2 linked regions of the Oreochromis niloticus genome follow. The protein of the gene in region 1 purifies or fractionates together with the protein of each later gene. This does not show direct contact. Links are inferred from orthologs where the notes say so. Each region holds a gene or a part of one and is shown on either strand. Other genes may lie near its edges. The genes, in order: u2surp and cherp.

What was found.
Region 2: the proteins of u2surp (region 1) and cherp purify together in Homo sapiens (affinity purification with mass spectrometry; 4 studies listed by BioGRID and IntAct, with this or other methods). This does not show direct contact. The link is inferred for Oreochromis niloticus from reciprocal best matches to the Homo sapiens genes U2SURP and CHERP.

What each region holds. Positions count from the first base shown.
Region 1 is NC_031974.2:17,222,265-17,234,006, forward strand, and holds the start of u2surp (U2 snRNP-associated SURP motif-containing protein), read right to left. Parts: upstream 5,502-11,742; 5' UTR 5,409-5,501; coding exon 5,364-5,408; intron 4,577-5,363; coding exon 4,478-4,576; intron 4,370-4,477; coding exon 4,255-4,369; intron 4,111-4,254; coding exon 3,986-4,110; intron 3,907-3,985; coding exon 3,836-3,906; intron 3,696-3,835; coding exon 3,607-3,695; intron 3,465-3,606; coding exon 3,429-3,464; intron 3,319-3,428; coding exon 3,236-3,318; intron 3,063-3,235; coding exon 2,897-3,062; intron 2,790-2,896; coding exon 2,578-2,789; intron 2,221-2,577; coding exon 2,177-2,220; intron 549-2,176; coding exon 444-548; intron 347-443; coding exon 280-346; intron 172-279; coding exon 8-171; intron 1-7. Other genes in the region: pcolce2b (procollagen C-endopeptidase enhancer 2b), read left to right, coding at 6,791-6,924, 7,206-7,314, 7,694-7,949, 8,914-9,038, 9,861-9,997, 10,098-10,261, 11,211-11,294.
Region 2 is NC_031981.2:23,791,805-23,803,551, forward strand, and holds the start of cherp (calcium homeostasis endoplasmic reticulum protein), read right to left. Parts: upstream 5,876-11,747; 5' UTR 5,725-5,875; coding exon 5,700-5,724; intron 5,141-5,699; coding exon 4,967-5,140; intron 1,092-4,966; coding exon 1,053-1,091; intron 1-1,052. Other genes in the region: dohh (deoxyhypusine hydroxylase), read left to right, coding at 8,375-8,480, 9,048-9,215, 10,263-10,339. UniProt on the Homo sapiens protein: Involved in calcium homeostasis, growth and proliferation.

The sequences.
Region 1 (11,742 bases):
TTCTTACTCTTCTTTTAAGCAGCCTTTCTTATTGGCCTCCTCTTCATCTTCCTCCTCCTCACCGTCATCATAAGGACCATGGAGGTATGGATTAAGAGGAGGCGGGCGCCACAAAGAGCCGTTTTTAAACATCCTAAAGTCATCTGTTCGCCATTTGGCTGGTGATTCACCCTGAGGAAGTAATAAATCACAGTGAACACATTGATAAAAAGAAGAAACTCAGTGGAATGGCTAGTTCCCCCTGAAATTTGGCAACTTTTTTCAAGATAGAAAACTAACCTGCAGTATGGAGTACAGCTTCCATCGGTAGTATACATGTGCTGGGCTCTGGTTCTCAAATAAAAACCTGTCATAAAAAGACATACACAACCTTTATAACTCAGCACATAAAGAATTTTAGCTAACAGAATAACACTACATTTCTATTGTGCAGCTAAGCTCACCTGTACATGGGATTGTTGATCTCTCTGTTCATGATCATGGCTTCAAACATTGGTCCTTCACGCACCACAAACTCGATCATTCGATGGATGAGAGAGAGCAAATTCCTACAAGAAAAACACAGTTAAAGCAAACGGATTCAGACTGGACGGACTCTTGAACACTACTAAAACCTCCCAATTAAAGATTAATTTATTCTTGGTGGTCTGACACACTCAACAGGCTGACTAGGCAAAGACAATTTATGTCACACAAAGAAATGCTGCAAGCCATAAATGCAGCTGTATTGAGCTATACCTGAATAGTAAACTTCTACTGTGATATTATATACTTGGCACAGAATGATGCCTAAATCATTCTAAAATCTTACCACAATACCCATTTATTATTTACTATGGCGACGGTTTAAATGACGGGGAATATGAGACAACAGATGACTGTCAGAGTGCGTCACATGACCAGGAATAAATTAACCATCACTGTGGCTACACCTCTGGGCCTACATATAACATCAATGAATACACGCAAAAAATAAAAATAAAAAATATGTATATAAAAACATTTTGTGACAGTACGACATTCATGTCAATTAAAAAAAACAACAAAAAAAAAAAAGGAAAAGAAAAGCTTTTTTTTATTACGTCTACAAAGGTCATGCCTGTGTTCTTTGAGGCTACAGTGCAACAGCTTTTAATTACATTGCACTGCTCGGAACCTTCATATAAAATATCTCTAAGTTCAAATTTCACAATGTGGGGATGAGTGAAATTGGGAACAACAGGAGCGAGACATTGACAAGACGCCGTACTAACAGGAATATTTGTCAGTACAGTGCCTTTCAATTCCCACTCTTTCCTTCTAATGTAACGTGAAAAAGCAGTACATGATCTTTGGCCTAAAACGGGTTATCTACTAGTGGAGTTGGTACCGACTTAAAACTGTGCAAATGGGATCGTTAGAAGTTCTTCTGTGATAATTTGTAGAGGAAATAAATTGTGCAGGCTGCATACAATTAGCCTAAAGTGGCCAACAAGACAAAGGATGTCTTTCATTTGACAACACAAATCACATTTACTTGTATTGGAGCCGATCGTACCAATGACGGGGTAAAATTCTGTATACTTTCCCAATCCATCCCATGATGCTTTTCAGGTCCCTCGCTGCTGCAGACAGTTCAACTTGTGCTGCTCACCAAGGCCAATGTCAAAGGTCATATATAGACTAATGATGGCAGGTTTGGATTTGTCAGCAGGAGCTAAATTTACTGAGCTCCTCATAGTGACAGAGGCCAAGGGGGGAGACGGTCTGAGTGAGCAATGGTCAGAGAACAGGTTTTCACAACTACGGATCTAGAATCAGCAGATCATGTATGTAGCAGAGTACAACATCACTAAAGTTGAGAAACACGATTTAATGTCTATGTATGGAGTGGTACTGTGAAAGTAATGATCTTTTTCTCTAAACAGCATAGTTATTAAGATCTATAATGATGTTTGGCTACACATGTAAAGAAAATATGAATGATGGAGGGATGTGAAACAAACTTCAGTCTGTATTATTCTAGGTACTAGTATGAAGACGCCGTGCAGCTGCCTCAACCATTGCTCATCCACACTGACCAGCCCCCTGTAGCATGCAGTGATCAAATGATCAAACTTTTTAGTTTCATTATGGGATGTTTTTTTTTTTTTCTAAGTTTGTACACCAATTTAAAAAAAAAAAGAAAAACATGTACCTTTCTGTTGGGATAACCACTTTGACTATGGCTTGCGACAGAGTCTGTATATGAAGTCACATCAGATAATAAACATAGAATGTGAGTATTGTTACAAAGGCAACAGGTGAAAAATATAAAAAATGCATTTAAAAAGTGCAAAAAGACAATAACTTTCCTTTCCTGCTGTCAGTTTTACTAGTGGCCAAACAACCCTGATACTTTACCATAGTAACACCTCTTTGTAACACTGAGCATTTTGCACACATTGACATTTGATAATGACACTTTCTTACACACAACAACTAATTCAAAATCTAAATCCTGTACTGACTGCTTATTATGACTAACATCTTACCACCACAATTAACAAAACATTGCCATATCCCATGAGAAAATCCTAGGCTGACGTATTGAATTACCTTGTCGAACTCCTCCTTGTTTTTAGGTGGAGGAAGCAGAGGAGCATTGGGGTTCTTTAGCCTCTCTCGGGGCTGTGCGTTGAATGGGAGGCCAGAGGGAGGCGGGGGGAGTGTATGCTCCATCATAGAAGGAGGGATATAGATGGGATGGGGGGGAATGGGCACACCTTTTCCCCATCCTAATTTCATCTCAAAGTTCATTATCATCTTTCCTGTTATGGGAGTAAATGTGCATTTAATTTTACCACGCACATGTGAACTGGAAAGAAGATAAAAGGATGTAATATATCAACTTAATAAAAGAATTGGAGATTTGTACCATTTAGGTTTTTGAGTGCTCGCTCTGCATCCCTCCTGTTCATGAAAGCCACAAAGCCACAGTTCCTCTCCCGAGCCCTTTCCTCATCTGTCCTCGGCCACATGATTTTCACACTTGCCAGTGGGCCATACCGGCCAAACTCTTGGCACAGCATCTCTTCGTTCATCTATGAAGTAATAAGAGTGATACAAATTGAGAAACACAGACATTGCATAAATATTTCCCACTTGGAATTAAGGGCATATTTAGCAAATTTCTAAGGAATAGCAACATGCTCAAGCCCCTCCTTTTATGGCATGCTTTACATTACTTCCACTTCATGCATGTGGAGATACAAACCTGTGGATTGATGTTTCCAAGGTACAAGTTAGTAGTGGATGGATCTCCAACGTCATGGGAACCTGGTGCACAGTCATCCAAAACTGCAGACACAGAGAAGAGAAAAGAATTTCCTGCTGCTGTCTGACAGGTCCAACATTATTTTCTTAGCAAGATGAAGGTATTCACGGTCACTATATTAAGTCAAAATTACCACTGGACGGACGGTTTCTTCGTGAAGAACCATCCGCTAAAAGAAGCAGAAAAGCAGTATAAATTTTGTTTCAGGGGTAGATGTGGACAAAGGGACAGAGGGTGGCGTAAGGCAGGAAAGGGCCCTGTCAGGCCAAGTTAGTGCACGTAAGGCAGTCATGTGACTTAAAAACACTTACAGGAGCGTCTTCCATCTGTCCCGGATAGCGGTTCGAAGCGACTAACACGTCCTTTCATCTTGTGTCTTTCATCTCTCTCTTCCTGTATTCTACAAGACACAGACACATATCACAGCTGATTATAATCTGTGTTTAATATATTACAACTTTAATAACCACACCACAAGTCTTAGGAACATCTAATATCCACCACTAAAATCTTTTAACACCTTTCTGTGTTAAAACTTACTGTTTAAGTTCTTCTTTGAAGAGCTCCAAATTACTCTTCTTCTTTTCCTTTTCACTGCTCTTCTTTAAGCCCTACAATGAGAAAACCAGGTAAGTGTTATTCAATGCAAAAGTTAGACAAGATGTTCTCATTCTCAGAAACAGTACTTACATGCCGTTTGTCTAATGCTAAAAATTGTGGTGGGGTTTCCAAAGGCAGGATGCTTTTTGGTTGGTTCTCAAAACGTGACTTGGGCTTGTACAACTTTCCTCTCTTGTCATCAGCAGCTGCTTCCTCTGCAAGGAGAAAAAATCTTTTAGTTTTCGCCCTCCAATCACATTACCATTTCAGTTTCCGAAGTCAAAAGGTTTGGTGAGCTGTTCTTTAACATTTGCATATTTTGCAATCAGTTTCAGAAATATATAATGCAAAACGTATACCTTTCGTTGCATTTGCAATGCCACCACGGACAAAAGCTTTGACTTTTCCCTCCCCTCCTCCTTCAAAAGCAGCAAGAAACTCCTCATAAATTTCAGCTGCCGCTCGTTCATCTTCCTGAATACACACAGGCACACAAAGGTGTCAAAGTAAATAAATCATATAAATCTCTGACAGCTATTATTCATGCAGAGAAAACTGTCCAAAAAGATAATCCATACTTACTTTTTTCTTTATTTCATCTTGTTCCTTTTTGCTGAGGGTTCTCTTTGCCACTGCCATCTTGCCAATGCTGAAAGACTTCAGTTTGCTCTCAAGCAGCGCCTGTACATGTCAACAAAGTATGGTTGTTTTCACCAGGTATTTAATAAGCACACATTACGACTATTTAATAACTGGATGGTAAACAACCACGACTTGTTCAAGTAATGTTGAGTCCTGCTATCATTATTATTATTATTATTATTTAATATGCCTATCAATTATCACGTAAACAGGTAACTTCAGCGCGGTCTGTAGCCGCTGGTTTATAAAGTCGGCTGTATTAAATGGGCGCCTGCAACCGTTACTCAGACATTTAACACTAATTATTTAAGTATAATACATTACACATTTACGACCAAGCTGCAGCTGGAGACCAGGAAAGATTAAGAAATTAGCTAAATTAACAGGAGGCCTAAGAAGTCGCCTTTTGGTGCAGCGCCACGGACTGAATGCATTACGCTAAACGGCGAATGACGGTTAGGCCCCAGCTCCCAAATGCTTAATTTACTATTTCCACACTGAAATATACAACCACTGTACGTCATCCTGAAGACAATGAATGTGTAAAGCTTGTGATTTGCGAACAAGTTTATTCCTGTGATAACTGCTTCCATTAATCCAGTTTATGGTCGCCAACACATTAGCTTAGCTTAGCTAAAACCAGCCAGTGTGGCTGCGGCGCCTCAGTTAGCTGTAGCGCGGCAGTGTTAGCAGACACTGTTGCGCACACTCCCTGTTGTGGTCTTTTACAGCAAACAGTTGGTGCTGTTCAAGCACAAGATTATTCGCACAGTTCCCATTACAACAGGTGCAAATGAGCTAAAACAACTACAAACTATAAGTTTACCTTAGCGCTAGCTTTCTGAGAGCCACCAGGCGTTCGGTCCGCCATCTTTTGTGGAACTGAAATGAATCGATCGCCGAGCTGATGATAGTGGCAACTATGAAACTCCAGGCGTCGCAATCAATCACAGAATCACCGATGCTTCTCTCCTCTCTTCTTTCAGTTTCTCAAGCGCGACACCAGGATTCAAAATGCTACCATGTATTAAAACTATAAATATGTATAAATTAATAAAATTAATACCCGATCTATTACACCGATCAACAGAGATAATGAATTGGCACCGAAATACTTTGAAAGAGAAAAATTAACTAGGTCGACAGGCAGCTCTAACTCTCATTTTTTTCTGTTGTTTTTTTTTCTTTTTTCAATAGAAAATGTATTTGCTGCTCTAAGTGACTTCAATCTCACTCTATCCTTTTTGTTTGTTTGTTTGTTTGTTTGTTTGTTTTTGTCCCCACTGAAAATTCCGATGTGAATGGTGTGTATATGCCATAACCAGCATGCATGTTCCGTATAACTCAAACTGCAGACTCAGACTAAGATATCAGGGTAAATAAACAAAGAATGAAGGAACGTGTATTCATTTAACAGGTGTTGGTCAGTGTCCAAACACTAAACGTGTCCCAAACACGTTTAGTGTTAGTGTTAGTCTTTTTCTTATTTAAATATTAATTTTTGAATTAACTGAAAATAAAATGAGCATCCATGACATTTAAAAATAATGACATGGACTGAGCATTTCAAGAAATGCAAATGGACAAATAGGTAACATGTAAAATAGAAATAATAATTATATAATCAAATAAACAACATAATATGATGGAGAGAACAGCACATTTTTGAATTGGAATTTGAGTGATAATAAAATTGCTTACACCATAGTTTGTCCAGCAGGTGGTGCTCTCTTTCAATCCTCAGATGACCCCTTTGCTGTGCACAACTCTAACAAGCTGCCATATTTTATGTAATTGTATTTTGTATTTCAGTTTATAGACATATATAAAATATAAAATAAAAAAACTTAAGAGTGGAGAACCGAACACAACACAAGTTGCCTCATTCACCTTTAGGCACATGCTGTTATTTGAAGTCAGAAATATACACGTTGATCGGAATGTGAAACCATGCATAGATAACTTCTGGAGTCAAGTTTATTCATGCCATCTCCGTCAAGGTTTTTCGTTTTCAAGCAAACTAATGCAAGACCCCACTCCCTCCCCTCCCAGCGCGTCTTTAACCCCCCCTGAGGGAAAAAAAAAAAAAAAAGAAAGAAAAAAAAAGAAGAAGAAATGTGCACCCTGCGCCCCGTCCCTCCTACCACGCAGAACAAACGCTATATTCATCTGCTTGCTTGAGTTTTCCGTTGCTGAAACTCCTTACAGGAGCTCCTGGGTACTTTTCCCCTCCGTTTTAGCCTGTTGAACACAATGCCATTCATGCCACGGGGCGAAAACAGGCGAAGCTCCTGCTCCGTTTTCCCAACAATGTGGAGAACATGCAGTATTTTTTGCGCATGGACTGTACTGTTCTTGACAGAAGTCTGTGCGCAGTCCCAGCAGAGGTACTTCTTTATTTACTTTTTACCCCAAACTCAAATTTTCTTGAAAGATTTATTAGATTAAAAAAGTGTTAAGGATCCCATTTAGCTCTTTGAAAATCACCGTCAGATGACTGGAGTTAGAAGAATATTGTGCAGTATGGGCTGCCTCGGGACATGTGGCGCATTGGCGAGGAACTGAATGCACTGGATCCAATGGATATTATCAACTTTGTTTTTAAATTTTGCTTTAATGCACCGTTATTATTTTTATTTATATGTATAGAAAATATCTTTCTCCTCAGACCAATCTTTACATGTGGCGGAAACATCACAGAAGAGTCCGGAGTAATCGGGAGCCAGGGGTACCCAGGAGTTTACCCTCCAAATACCAAATGTGTGTGGAGAATCACAGTGAGTCCAGTTGTTTTTTTCATTCATAGAATATGATGACAGTGATAAAGCATTGTTCATTTAAAAGAAACCTACAGTATGACAATCTTTGGCTTAGTCCAAACTCCTAATTTCCTTCTAAAAATAGTTAACCACAGCCGCAGTTAGCTTAGGGCAATCTTTGCTGAGTGACTCTGTGATGTTTCTGTACTTTACAGCAGTGAAGCTGATGATTAGGTTGGAAAAACGGCATAACCTGGGTTAAAATGCACAATTAGGTTAAAAGGTTTGAGAGTATTAAAGTAATTTAGTATTTGCTGAAAGGTCTATGCTCATTTGTTTGTTATGCCATTTAATAATAATAATGATTTAACTAAACATTCTCCAACTCCCCACCCAGGTCCCGGAGGGGAAGGTGGTGGTACTGTCATTCCGCTTCATTGATCTGGAGAACGACAACCTGTGTCGCTATGATTATGTGGATGTCTACAGCGGCCATGTCAATGGACAGAGACTGGGTCGCTTCTGTGGGACGTTCAAGCCAGGAGCCCTTGTTTCCACAGGCAACAAGATGCTCCTGCAGATGGTATCCGATGCCAACACTGCTGGGAGTGGCTTCCTGGCTGTTTTCTCTGCTGCCCATTCACATGAGCGAGGTAAGAAAACATGGGAAGAAGAAGAAGCTTGTGCATGCTTCCTCTTAACACAGTTGTCTTAGTCAAAGGTGCCAAGTTTGCAAGGATAGCAGAACATCTTGCTGCTATCCAAGCATGTAATGCAGAAATATGTGGAGCTTCTGTAATGTTACTAGTAAGAAGTAAATGTTACCTTGTTTGTATGCAGACAACCAGTAAAGCAACAGGATGTATCCGATCGTGTAGTGCTCAGTAAGAGCAGGTCTGTGGGCTAAAAGTCCATGTGGACAAAAAGAACGCTGCGTTTTAACTCTTCTCGCACTGTGATGTGGAATTTCTCATGTTTTTTGGCTATTGTGCTGCAAAGCAAAGGTCAGAAATATCACTTAGAGCCTTTAGCCTTTTCCTCACTGGGCCATCTACTGTTTTTAGAATTTTAATGTCTGGTTTTCTGTACCGTGGGAGCTGACAGCTGTAGTGGACAGTGTCAATTAACCAGTCGGCCAGGCTCTTACACGCTGGCAGAGAGACTGTTGCTATCCTGTCTTTAAACATGGTTAAAACTCTGCTGCATCACATGTCACCCATTTATAAAGATTTGTTTTCTTCAGTTTGCTAAATGTATTTTTTTACATGCTGGAAAGGCAGAATCAGTTAAAGTATGTGTTATAGGGAAAGCGTGTTTTTAAGCGATGTGATCCTTTGAGAGTTATTGTTTGTTTTGAACTGATGTTCCTCTGATGGCAGTTATTTTTAAACCCACAGATGACTAATGACAGACTTGCTTTTTATGGTGTTCATAATGACAAAAAGGCAGTGAGAGCCCTTAGACGCAGTTAATAACATGAGCACATTACTGACTCACCATTGTAGCCTTTAAAAGATTGCTAAATAGCATTCATTATTTCATTCAAGCAATAACAGGAGCAGTATTTAGCTAATTAATTGTGTAATCCTAGCACTAACTTCAGTCATTTCTCCTCAGGGGACCAGTACTGTGGAGGCAGGCTGCTTAAGCCCTCTGGGACTTTCAAAACACCCAACTGGCCTGAGAAGGACTACCCAGCTGGAGTGACCTGCTCCTGGCATATAGTAGCACCAAAGAACCAGGTCATACATTTAATTTTTTACTTTAAAAAAAAATGAGTAAATGCAAATGTTTCTTTCTGAATAACTGGCCTCAAATGAGCTGAAATTCCGGGAGATTGTGCAAACGTTTTGAGTCACTCCTAATTTCTTTGTGTTTTGCTTCCAAGGAGACACCCTGTCTTGCAATTTTTTAAAGTGGCATTTAGCAATACTTCTTCAGGCTTTCTGGAGGGTTTTCAAAGGCTTTCTTTGAACATTGGCTGCTTTTTCACTCATTTTCAGGCCAGTCCTTGTACCTGAGCATTTTCAGGGGACTGTCTTTGTTTGTTTGTTTGTTTGTTTGCTTATTATGCCACTTAACACATATCTGTGAACCATTCAAATATAAAAAAAAAAAGAGACTCCCTTAGTCAAATCTATGAAAAAATGCCAAAGATCTCACAGTTTGACAGGCAGAAAATAGTATTTTTGTAACAACAGAGTGATTCCCAATGAGTTTTTAGGGGAATACACACCATGTCATATCTTGACATGGTGTGTACCAGATAAACAAAGTTTTATAAATAAATGAAGATACAGAAGTTTTTCATCTAGTCTTTTTCCGTGCACGTTTTCCCTCTATATCAATGATGAGTCAATGCCAGTGGCGGAATAACACTCTATTGAAATAAAACATTACAAGTTACCTGAGCCGTTCTTTTAAGAAATCTTAGTAAGTAAAAGGTGGAGTATATCTTTTCAAAAATGACAGCATACACTTTAGTCAGATGGTGCACCCTAGGGCCTGTTATAAGCTTTTGCTAGAAAAAAGAGGATTACTTTGTAACTTGTCTTCTGCTGCAGATTATTGAGGTGAAGTTCGAGAAGTTCGATGTGGAACGAGACAACTACTGCCGCTACGACCACGTCTCCATTTTCAACGGGCCGGAAATAAACGATGCGAAGAGGATTGGCAAATACTGCGGAGACAGCCCCCCAGCGTAGGTGATTTCTGTCATGCTGTAGATTTCATTTTCACTAAACCATCGCGTGATTTCATCTCAGTTCATCCTCAGTCTGCTTTCCCGTGCTGCTCTGCAGGCCGGTGTTGTCGGAGGGGAATCAGCTCCTAATCCAGTTCCTGTCAGATCTCAGCCTGACTGCCGACGGCTTCATTGGGCACTACAAGTTCAGACCAAAGAAATTCCCCACCACAACAGTACTGCCTACAACTACCACACAGCCAGTCACCACCAGGCCAATACGTAGGTAGCAGCTTATATTCAATAGAAACCATTAAAAAACATCTAACATCCATAGACTTCTAATATCTGCATTAGCCGATTTGACTGTATTTGCTTTGTGCTGCTGGATTCTTTGATAACATCTGGGATTTTATATCCTTCTTTCAACTTGAGAAGGATCTGAAATCTGCTTCCAATAGCAAACGTAGGCAAGAGAAGGAAAGAGCGAGGTGCTTAAGTAGTAGTACAGTGTGCTGCTTGTGGCCATGCATTCTGCTACTGTCCCCACACATGTGGCTCACATAAGAGCAAATGCTCTGCTCACATAAAATAGATTATAGCAGTCAGCCAGTGAGTCAATAGAACATACTGGAAAGTGTTGTCCAATTACAGATGCAGCCAAGCACATGTTGTAACACAGCATATGCTAAAACTATGTGTTATGCTCATAAGACTTTTCTCTTGTGTAAACCGTACATAACACAAGGGGTGGGCGTGTGTCTGCACCTGCAATCACAGCTCATTTTCATAGTCAGACTCGCATTCCCACACATTGTTGTTTTTTTCCCTCATTCAGGCTAGGTTATTTTGGCACCCCCCCCGCTATGATATCAAGCTGTGTCACTGCTTTCTGGTTGGCTTATCTCCCCCCCTCACCCGACTTTTCCCTCCACAGTAAGAAAAATATTTGCACAGTCACATTGTATTTTCTTCAAGCCTCAGTTCTTTCCTTTATGGATTCCCTTCTATCTTTAACTTCAAAAACAGACGTTCCCTCGCCACATAATCTAGCTATTGTCTGTGATACTGACAGCCATCCATCTGCAGAGACACTTGTGTTACCAAGAATACTCAGTAAATAGGCTGCAGCAGAAGCAGATGGCAACATAACTTACATGCCCACGTCACTGGCGGGCAAAATTACAGAGGCTGATTTTTTTTGTGTGTGTTTCTTTTTCTCTCTGTGCAGCTCTGAAGTACTCTGTTGCCCTGTGCCGGCAGAAATGCAAAAGACGAGGAACGCTTGAGAGCAATTACTGCTCCAGCGATTTTGGTGAGAACATAAAAGCTTACTGTAACTTATCAAAAACCACATTAAGCCATAGTCACTGATACATTCCAGCCATTTTTGTATCATATAACATATCTGCTTTTGCAGATACTAATCCTAAACAGCTTGAATTGCAGATACTCTGAAGATATATATGAGCAGACCCCATGCTGACAGCCAAAACCCCCCTTAAGTAGCAGTTTATAGTCCTGATTATGTTGCTATCTTTGCTCTGTGATTTTTTTTCCCTTACACATCTCAAAGACTTCCTTGATAGCCTCTCAGGAAGTGAATGACTGCATACAGTAGGGCACGGTTACCTGTAGTCTAAACACACACTCATACTCAGCCGCTGACTGTAGGCAAAGTGGCAATAAATGAAGGTGTTTATTCAGGCTCGGCAATCTGACACATGCGGTTTGTGGCGAGGAAAAGGGGGAAAAAAGGAAAG
Region 2 (11,747 bases), on another chromosome or scaffold:
TCAACAAATGCAGGTTAAAGCTCTATCATGAAAAGTAGCCACATATGAACATGATCTAGAAACACTGCTGTCTTCTCAGGACCAAAGCTCACTTAAAATGGGCCAAGGCAAAGTAGAAAACCGCTCAGAGGTCAGCAGCAGTCAGTTCAAAAGCCTGAATGCTTGATGGCAGAGGATGCATTAGTGTCAAATTACTTGACAGCATGTATATTTGGAAAGGTAGTATCAATACTGCAAGGTATATGCAATATTTAGAACATATGCTCACATCCATCTTAGCCACGATAACCTGGATGACTTCACAGACATATTAATGCAGTAAAATTCATTTTATAGAAAAAGGTGAAACAAAGCCCAGTAAATGTTATCACTTAATAACATAAAATGTTCAGAACATAATCCTAAACTTTTCAGTAATTACAGGAGGATTACATTTGTATTACTGGATAAATAAAACTGTATTCATCCCATATTTGGGAATTATTTTATTACAGCATTTGAACTGACGATAATAATAATAAGAAATAACAAGAACAACAACAACTTTGTTTTAGCTTAACATTTAGCTTCTGATGCCACTTGCCAATAATATCTGTAATACTATAGTACTGACTGTAGTACGAATTTGAGTACCAAGAAATAAACAAGCTGATCTGGGCCAAGACTTTTCCAAGAATTAGGAAAATAATGCAGAAACTAGTTCAACCAATACTGACATTTTTAAAATTGTGCAGCCCTTATTCTATAGCTGCCCTGAGCAGAAGCATGTTACAGACAAACAGAATAAACAACACCCTGAGTCGGTGTCTTTGTATCTGTGCATGTAATCAAACCTGCTTCAAGATGGAGCCCATTTTAATCAAGATCATTAAGAAGGTATGGCCAAGAGAAATTCACTGAAAAAGCAAAAAATGTGAACATGCAAAATGAAAACAAACCAAAGTATTTTAAAGCACAATGTTGTGGCATCTGGCAAAAAAGTGCATAACAAAATGTGACTTTCCAAATAGAATTTTGAAATTTATCTGAAAATTTTGATTTTAAATAAATACCTTTAGATTTATACTCCTCCCCATCGTGGGTAGAGGGATCTAAGTGGAGAAAGGCAAACTTTAATGCATTTCAGTGGTATCACACAACTGACAGAAGAACACCATGCAAAACTGCACAACACTCTGCTTTTAGTATCAGGCTGCTGATTAGGTGACTATGCTTAAGTAATCAAAGCCAACTGTAGCACAGTAAATAATGTAATTTACTCTCATATTAAGTTCACTTCTTTGTAAAGATCCGTATCTATACCAAGAAAATATTTCCATTTTGCTCAAAGAACTGCTGTCCTCACAATAAGGACGTGACTGGATTGCTCCTCACGGAAGAATATGAGAAGGTTCTCTAAAGCAGCATTGCTGAAGCTGCATGTGGGAAGTTTCATATATTTTTACAGCTTTTTAAGTAAACTAAAGATTTAATTTGTGCATAGTTAGTACAATTACTATTTTGACTTCTTTTGAAAAGTAATATTTCAGTGATATTTCTTATTAGATTTTAAAATATAAATAAAAGTATGTAACCGGCTGGAAGCCTTCCAGTCCCTGCTCTGAGGAAGAAGCTTTGTCCCTGCTCTTTTTCTTCACGTCGCAGCAGTTATGGGCGCTGCTTCCAGTTTACAAACAGCCTGCCTTGTGCAACCCTTGATTCTTAGGGACGGACTGGCTGAGGTTTAATAAACTGGTAGGACAATGTTGGGAGGGTGTGCTCATGACAGACAGAGTCACCTGGGTTCTGTCCAACACTGATCCTGCAGAGCCTTCTCAGGAGACCCCGGGTGGTCAGTGTATAGTTGATGTATAGTACATCAACTATACTCTGATCATCTCTCCTTGCTAATGGTACTGACCTACAAACCCCTCATTTGCAGAACTAAACCAACCAACAGAATGATTAAGACCTTGTCTACTTCAAGATTGCTTTGAATAAACAGACTGGAATACACTTAGAAGTGTACAAATTATTTGTTCTATCCTACATCAACTTCTGCACTGCCCTGGTCATCACATTGAAACTAATCAAAGTGTTCTGAAAACAGAAACCCTGGGTCAATAAAGAGGCCAGAGAGCTGCTTAAAATCAGGGATGTTGCTTACAAAGCCCAGGATGTGGCATCTTATAGCCTAGCAAAAGCAAATCTCAAACACAGCACTGAGCCTTCAAAGAACAATTACAGATTCAGGACAGTTTCAACAAAAACAACTCAGATAATATGTGGCAAGCCACACAACATTTGACAGACTATCAAAGAAAAACCCTCAAAGTAAGCAGTAATCCTTCCCTGACTGAAGCATCGTTTTTGCCCATTTCAGCAGGTACAATGATGCAAGCGAAATCGACCTCCATCCCCTACCAGCCCAGCCTGAACTGTCTTGGAAAGAAATGACATTAGGAGTGTTATTGCACAGAATTAAACCCAGAAAGGCTACAGAACCTGATGGTGTTCTGGAGTGTGTTCTGCAGACCTGCACTGACCACCTTGCAGAGGTTTTCACAAACATCTTTAACCTCTCTTCGATTTCTGGGAGTGCACCAACATGCCTCAAAACTACAACCATTGTGCCCATTCCAAAACAAAGAACTAAGAGCAGCCTAAATGACTATCATTCAATTACACTTAACCTGATGATAGCAAAATGCTTTGAAAGACTGATTGTGGCTCACATTAAGTGATCACAGCCACTCTGGACCAGAGTCAACAGAGGAAGCCATCAGCCTTACACTCTATACCACCTTAGAGCACTTCAACAAACCAGGCAGGTACTGTAGAATGCTCTTCCTGGACTTCAGTTCTGCTTTTAATACCGGTGTCCCCGCAAACTGGTGTCCAAACTCCCAAACCGTCTCAGCCCGACCATCTTTAGGTGGACCCTGTATTTCTTAACCAACTATCCCCAGACTGTCAGGATGGGCAAACGCGCATCCTCCATCCTCAATGTACCAAAGGGATGTGAGCTGAGCCCTGTTCTGTAAGACCTGTTCAACCATGACTGTCAACCTTCAAACACAACAAACACCATCATCAAGTTTGCGGACGACACACAGTCACTGGCCTGATCTCCATTAACAACAAGACTGCAGATAGAGAAAAAGTGTAGAGCCTAATCGCCTGGTGCCCCATCAACAAACTCATACTACACAGCAGCAAAGCCAAGGAGATTGTGGTGGATTTCAGACAGTCAAGAAGAACAGAACTTGATCCTATGTACATCAACTATACTCAAATGCTGCTACACACATACACACAGTCCACACATGATTGCTAGCCTTCCTATTACAACTTCTGTGTAATAGCACTACATTTGCTATACTGTGAAACTTGCACATACAACTTGTAAAGTCATTACTAAATTTTCATAATGTTCTTATCTTTGCACATACGTTTTATGACCTTGTACGTATTTTGTATTCTTTTATTCTATTTATTTTTTTATTCTTCATGTGTACTTTTAAATATTTGCCATTTTGCACATTTTTTTGAATATTTTGCATGTTCAGGGGTTGCCAAAATGTTGTTATTTTGTTGTCCTACACAACAATAACAAAAACACCAAACTTGAATCAGTTCTAACAGACATACCTGTGGTATCAGTTTCAAAATCCTATGTCATCTTGTTCTCAAGTTATGGCATTCATTTTTACTAGATGCACCTGTGGTATCAATTTGAAAATCCTAGGTGACTTCCCTCTTGCGGTATCGCATTCACAAGATTTTCAGAAGATTTGACCTCTGACCTTAACAGGGTGACAAGAAACCCCATCAGCCTTTTACGGCTGAGTGATAAAAGGAATGTTAGCAGCACCTGTACAACAGAGGCACTAGACTCAGACAGCTCAAACTGGGAGGTAAAATACACGTATTTCTTCCCATTTGCAATTCAAAATTACTCGCCAACTAGCAAGGACCCTTTATGGCCATGTGGCGAGTGGGGGACATAGATTGTGAAGTGGGGTGGACACAGGATTGGTGCCACACAAGTATACCACCTCAACCTCCTAAAAGCATGGAGAGTGACAGAATTTTGAAACTCGTTGTATGTGCGTAAATAAAGAGAGAAACACCGAACAAAGAAACTGTATGCAAGGTACATATAGAGGGGTTCCTGTAGTGGCAAACTTGCTACAATGCCCACTTAGCTATTTACATTATAATTCACTGATGTCTCCTTGAAGACTGCCGGAAAAACTGTATGTGTAGACAGCGCACTGTAAGATACTACAAAACAGTGCTTCATCTGCTAATCCTCCTACCCAAATGTCGGATATGAAAATGATTCTTTGGACACCACCAACGTGTCTTTGATTATTGAAGAGATTCTAAATTTAAAGATTTGTATTTTCAAATTTAGCTGCAACAGTTCCTTCCACAGATTTGCCCGGTTGCTATTAAGCCAGACCAAAGTGTCATTTGGACACCTTTTATCCTGTAGTGAGATTCCAAGTCCACTGTCTTTAGTGCATTTACTGACTGATATCCTTGTTCTGCTTTTGGGGAGATTTTCTGTGAGCTAGAGAACTGACTCTGCAGCTGACGAAGGCTGCGAGCAGAAGGACTACTGCTGCCAGGTGATGATATAAAGGCAGTCTGAAAGCCTTTAATCAAAAGGAAAAAAATCCATGCCAAAAACAGATTCACATTACCAATACAATGCTGGACTGTTCAATTAACAGTTTCACCCCAAAACAGAAAAGTAAATAATTCTGCCAACATATCTGGTGCATGTACTGGGTTGGGGGTTTTTTTCCGCTTTTATCTGTAAAAACTGTTTTTTATTACATTTTTTTTAGTTTGAATATTTCTATTATAGTAAGAAATCCAAAGTACTGAACATCAAATGAACTTAATATTCCAATACTAAATTGACCTCTATGTGAAAATTCTGTTTTTATTGTGATGTGTCAGTTTAACTACATACGTTGCTGTTGTTCCATAGCAAGTTTGTACTTGTAGTAGCTGAAGTATTCGCCCCCAAAAAGGAAGGAGAACTTATGGTTGTCCTTCTGTTTTTCCATCGTCATCTTCTCAAACTCTGGGCCATTTCGGGCAACAAACTGGGCCAGCTTATCAATCACATTTCGAAGCTCCTGATCTGTACAAAAAAAACAGACATAAATACAGTGAAAAATGTTGTTGTAAAAACCACAGAACAGAGACACTGAAATAGACAGAAATAATAGTGACTGAAGTTCTTTTAAAAAAATCAAATAAAACAGATTTAGAAAATAATGAATTTCTTCTGAAACAGAAATATCTAGAAATGAGGTTGCGTAAGCATGAATTATTTCTATATTCCTACATAGTATTATTAAATCAGTTGGCTTTAATTTTACTCTTAATCGTGCTGCTGTAGCACAAAAATATCTATAAGGGATCTTCTTTCTATGGGGGTTCTTTTTCTTAAAAGCCAGCAGCCGTGAAAAGTTAGAACAACTAACGTTTACTCTCTATTACTGGATTATTTCTACACCATTTTTCACGTTAGTTGGTGCAATGATTACACACAGAGCCCGGTTAAACATTCATCCACTTCTGATCGGTGACCTTAATCAACATGCTAAATCCAATGGTTTTGTTAGCTATGTAGCAGATAGCATGGGTGCTCGCTTACGTTGAATCGAAATTTAAAATAGCTGTGGTGTACGGCTCACCTTCGGGAGGACTGGGGATATCCATGTTTAATTTCTGTTCCAGCGAACCACTTAGCCAGAATATGTATGTAAAAACTCCGCCAAATTCTTTACTTTTTCAGAAAAAGATATATCAAATTCCCCCAAAATCACTTGCATTGCCGCTGCTACGCACAGGAAATGCGATACAGAAACAGCGCCACAAAAGATGGCTATGGAATTGTCTCCAGCGCCCCTTGCGACTGGGAGGAGTGTTCGCGCCTTGCTCGTTTGGGTGGATTGATGGTTGCAGCGGCGAGTAAACGTCCAAAAATGAAAATATTTTTATTTAACTATAAGTAAAATATATATTAAAAAAATACAACATTTTAAAATATCTTTAGTCCTGATCTTTATTATATATGCTTACAAAATCCTATCCTAGAAAACATGGTTGAAACCCCGTAGTTTCTCTTCCTGGTCAATATAGGAGGCAAACCTTTTGGACAGATAGACCAAACAAGACACTTATCCAGCTGGATCCAGCACCCAGTCCAATGGGAATGCTGTGCTATCCAGTTGGTCATTTCAAATGACCCACTTGGCAGTGCAGAGCTATCTTTTTGTTTGTTTGTTGTATGATCAGCAAAAGACGGGGTTCAAAAGCATCAGTCAACAGTTTTTCCTAACCATCTAAGGTCCAATGCCCAAATGGCAGAAATTAAAAAAGGGAAAAGAAAAACAGAACACCAGAAAAAATGAACAAACAAAAGGGGTTTATAAAAGCAAGGCTCGATGGGTCAAAGGAGCAAGGATCTACATATACATATTTTGAGCTTAGCAACACAGTGTTTAGCACTATTGTGTCACAGCAAAAAGGTCCTGGGTTCACATCCACAATCTGGCTAGGGCCTTTCTGTGTGGAGTTTGAATATTCTCCTCTGGTTCTCCAGCTTCCCCCCACAGTCCAAAGACATGCAGTTAGTCAGATTACATTAATTGATGATTTTAAGAATTAAAATGGTATTTACCCAGAATAATAATTAGATTAACAGTATCAGAAATTTTGTTGTTCAACCCCAAAAGAAACAATAAGTAAGCATGGAAATGTTGACTATTTTCAGATAAAGTCAACTGTAAATGTCTGACCAAAATAAACTCACATGAGGAGAATTTAAAATAGAAATGATCACCAGTTTCACATTCAGAAGTACAAAAATTACATGAGTCAACCTCAATTTCAAATCGCTTTAATAAGAAATTTAGGAGTGGTATTCAAATGTTCCTTTCAACAACAGATCATTTTATTATTATGATATACTTTATACTTTATTAAAGTATTTCACCTCTCGTTTTACCGCGATGTAAAAATTTAAATCAAGATTGCAAATTGCTAAAATCTGACATATCAGAACATTTACAATCAGACCAGATGCTTTTGAGAAAAATTAATTTTGTTCCTTTAGAGATCACAAGTTCTTTTACAAAAAAAATGAAAAATACAACAACAAAGGCATTTTATCAGCAAACTGACTAATTATAAATTTACTCTATTTTATTTAAATTCCTTGACTATCAGGTGAAATTTTCAAGGAAAATAGCCCCCCAATAACCCCCACTAGAACACTGAGGTGAAGAAGCACTCTTTTTTACTTGAAGGACATCACCTCTCAGTCAGCACAGTAGTAATACACAGTACAACTGTCTGTAAATTGTGCTGCACTTGTATAGCATGAGTTTCTTTTTTATTTTATCTGTCCAACTAAAGAAAAAAGTTACACATAACATTATTTGATTTTTTTTCTATTGCTACCTCCATTCCAAATATTTTAAAGGTGTGTGGTTTATGTTCATAAATAGCCCTGTTTTTTTTGTTTTTTGAGCCACATTTCAGTCTACACTCCATACCAGTTGGTGGCGGCAAAACACAATTTCGTAGTTTTCCAACCACCTGCACAAATAACAAAAAGAAGAAGGACACAACAACTTCCTGCGACTGTCCGTGGATTGTGCTGTGGGGACCGTGACGGAGGTGTGTGAAATACTGTACATACTGAAGCTTGGTACGTTTAGACAACGTTTACACTGGGCGCCGTTGTGTGGTGGCGTTAGTGGATACCGTGTGATGTTGTTGTGAAAGAGTTCAGCCAATGATAGGCGATGGTTTATTTGTGGAAGCCGGTGTGCTCAGCGCGTGCTCCCGACGCAGGCGCAAGACACCGGAATGTAGTGAAGTGACAGCGGTGTTCACCAGGAAGGAGAGAAGCGTGAAAAAGATCAATAATACATCATGTAAAGTACAGAGCTAGCTGCAGGCCGTCGACAGAAACTACATCTAAATACTATACCCTCCGTAGCTGGTTTTAATATTGGCCTGGACTCCAGGTATTTAGTCAAAATCCTCATATGGCTCGGTTATAGTCTATATAAACCAGGGGTTGAGAAGGTAATTTATCCATTTAAATCAGCTGTGATGGATCAAGGACGCATCTAAAACCTGCAGGACACCGGCCCCCGTGGACTGGGATTGGGGACCCCTGATATAAACGTTTTGTTTTCACCTAGCAGTTATAGATTTTTAGTATAAATAAGATAAATTAAGACTTGAATATATATAATTTTCTCCACTAAACTATGAGTGAGGAAAAAAAAGCTTTCACGTTGCTCTAAGTTTACAGGTCCAAGATTCATAAGTGTCTTGCTCTCTTTCCAGCAGCATGGCTACTGTCGAGAAGATTGGATCAATAGGACAGGAGCTGGTGGACCCGAGACAGGACCTGACCAAGCGGTTCAGAGCTTTATTTACCCTGAGGAACCTGGGAGGTAAAACACCAGGACCACATAGTTTTATTTTTTATTTTCAAAAACTGGACAAATGACAAAAGCACTCAGCTAAGTAACAAAATAGCGGCAGTCCATGTGCCCAGTGCTCAAGATTTGCAGTAGTATGTAGGACTCCAACATTGGTTTGTAGGGGTGGGAATCACCCCACACATTCAGTTTCTTCTTCTTCTTTTTTTTTTTTTTCAAATGTAGTTGTGGTTGTTTCTGTCCTTTCAGCATATTTTAGTAGCCCCTATGTTTTCCAACAAAACTCACAGGAAAAAAAGTAATCTTTAAATCTCTAAACTTTGCAATAACGTCTTGCCCTCGCGCTTGCAGCCACCAGTCTTTTCCTCTTCGTATGGTTGGCTTAATCACAGAAAGCAGCACTGTACTGTCTGAAAGACAAGACATTCAGTTGTTTCTTTTTCTCTGAAAGATCTTTTTTTTAATGCAAACTGAAATCACAGCACAGCTGTTGCATATTGTTGCAATATATTTGGTGTGACTGAATGCCGGTAGTGACTTTTGGGTGAACTAATTCAAGCTGTCATCTGTGTGTGTCAGGTGCTGAAGCTATAGAATGGATCAGCAAAGCCTTCGCTGATGAATCAGCCCTGCTGAAGCATGAGTTGGCTTACTGCCTGGGACAGATGCAGGACAAACGGGCCATTCCTACTTTGACTGCTGTTCTCAAAGATAAACAGCAGGAGCCAATGGTTAGGCATGAAGCAGGTAAGCGTGCTTGATGGGGATGAGGAGTCGGTGTACTACCAAACACAAGTATTTTGACACAGTATGTTTTATGTAAGCTCTGTGCTCTGCACAGATGGTGCGTGTCCAGGTGTTCATTTGTTGCTGCACTAAATACAGAAGTTCCCAATTAATCTGCTTTTTGTATTTTTACAACACACATGCAATACAGACACACGTGCACTGTGTAAAATACCTAGAGTAGTAGAAAATGAACTACTCCCTTGTCATCAATTTTTTTTCTTAACGGTCATTTAGGTAAGGTGGTATAATTAAACAATTAAATAATTTAGTTGCTCCTCCACAAATCTTACCTTTGCTAAGTACTTTGTGACAAAAAGCAGTATAAGCAGCTGCTTGTCAAATGAGTCTGAAGCTTTGCCATTTTGGGCTGGTTACAAAGTCTTTTTTTTTTTTTGCACTGCAGCCTTGTGGAGATGGAGTAGTGACATGTAGACCAGTTTCATGTACTGCAGGTTCTGGTTTGAGGGATGCAATCCTCTCCCTAGCTCGCTCTGGTCTCTAGAGCACCACAAGGACCATTGATGCAGACAGTGGAGCTGGAATTCAATCCACTGGAGTACCAATCACGGCATCTGTATGATAGCATGGACTGCCAAAACAACAAAAACCAAAATGAGTAGCCAAATATACTGCCCCCACATTAAGATGCTTTAGTGGTCTTTGTAAGGAGCACTAGGTGCCTTGCGAAAAGGCTACACTTTGCCAGAATTGTCCCTAAAGAAGGTCACATTGAACTGAAAGAAACTGAGAATGTGTATTTGGCATGAGGGACTGTTAGTGAGCTAATATTTAACCACTCTCTTTCTGCTAAACATAAATTTGTGTAGAAAAGTATAAGTTTACATACATGTGTATGCAAACTCACTATACTTTCCTGGCGCAAGCACGATGGAAGCTTTTCAGAAAATATTTTGAGACTTGCAGTTTGCAGGATGCAAAAACAAATGAAAGCTGGAAACAGCGGTGCAGTTTTGAAGTCTGACTGCTATCTCTGTGTGCTTGTAGGGGAAGCTCTGGGGGCAATTGGTGATTCTGCGGTTCTGGACCTACTGAAAGAGTACAGTCAGGATCCTGTCATTGAGGTAAGAGCATATCACAAAATCTGCCTAAAACTTACAACTAGATTTTCATTTTACCTGCTACAGAACAGACCTACAATTTAGGCTTGGACTAATTTAACAGGATATTAATTAATTTTGAAGGTAACTGAAAAACAATTTTGACTGTTGTATTTGAATTGACTGGTTGTTATCATGCCTTTATTGTCACATCACTTCTGAACCGCCATCTTCCAGGCTGCTCTCGATGTTTCCTGCTGCCTTTTAAAGTTTTTCCTAAAAACTTTTACTAAGTTTATTAAATCTTGGGTGGTGCAGAAACTATACCCTCTACTTTGACATCTTCAACTCTATAGTGTCACCACTGCATTCCAACCCATCCCTGAAGCGTGGTTTCCTTGCTAGCCTTTTTAAAATATTATTATTATATTTATTTATTTAGCCTGTTTACTAACTGCTTGCTGCTCTCAGACTATGCATGTGTGTGGACATTGTCTGCTGGTATACTCAGTGTTACAAGATGACAAGATGTTCCAAGACTCCCTCTTGTAAGTTGGGGATCAGCGCTTGTCTTGGTTGGGCAATGCTGCTGCCACTGCCACCTCTATTTCTGCTGCTGTTGCTGCTCCCACTGCTGGATCTGATTGATGACATGCTACTGTGCCCCCTAACTGCTCACCATCTGCCACCACCTTGAGTCTTCTTTTAATTCTGGTGCTTGTTGTTGGCTACTCTATGGTCTGACACATGGCGGTGCCCACATGAAGGACATTAAGACCACAAAGTCTCTGCAATAGTTGTCTGTCTTGGCACTAATGACTTAATATATCGTCAGAGAACCTCAAGTAAGGCTTTATACACCTCGTGGGCAGCCACTGGAAAGCAGTGACCTGCTGTTGTACCCCCTTTTATTTAGTAATGTAAAGTTCAGCTGTTCAGAGTTCAATGGCACATCTGGTTCAAGAACTAATGCATTATTAAAGAAATTCCCTTTGTTGTACTACAACCTGTCATTCCTCAACTGCTCTGAACTTTTTCAAGCGAAATTGCCTTCACCGAAACCACTGGGATTCACATAATCTGTCCACAGGCACTGAACTAACCCTTCACTCTTGTGGGATTTCTGTTCACTCCCACTCTATTACAGAGACAGCTGTTTTCGTTACCATTGCTACTAGGCAAAATTTCACAATACCAGTGTAGCCAGGTCTCTCTTGGAAATGAGATTTTAAATCTCAATGAGATTTTTACCTGAATAAATAAAGGACTAATAAAAAAAAAAAAAAACACTGTTAAGTCATCTAATTTAGGGTAGTGTGTTACTGGAACACACTGGATCTGGTTTTTACTCTTGGTGTATCTATAAACTCCCTGCATATGTCTGATCTGCTGTCTAATCAATTCAATTTAAAACCCCAACAATCATATCACC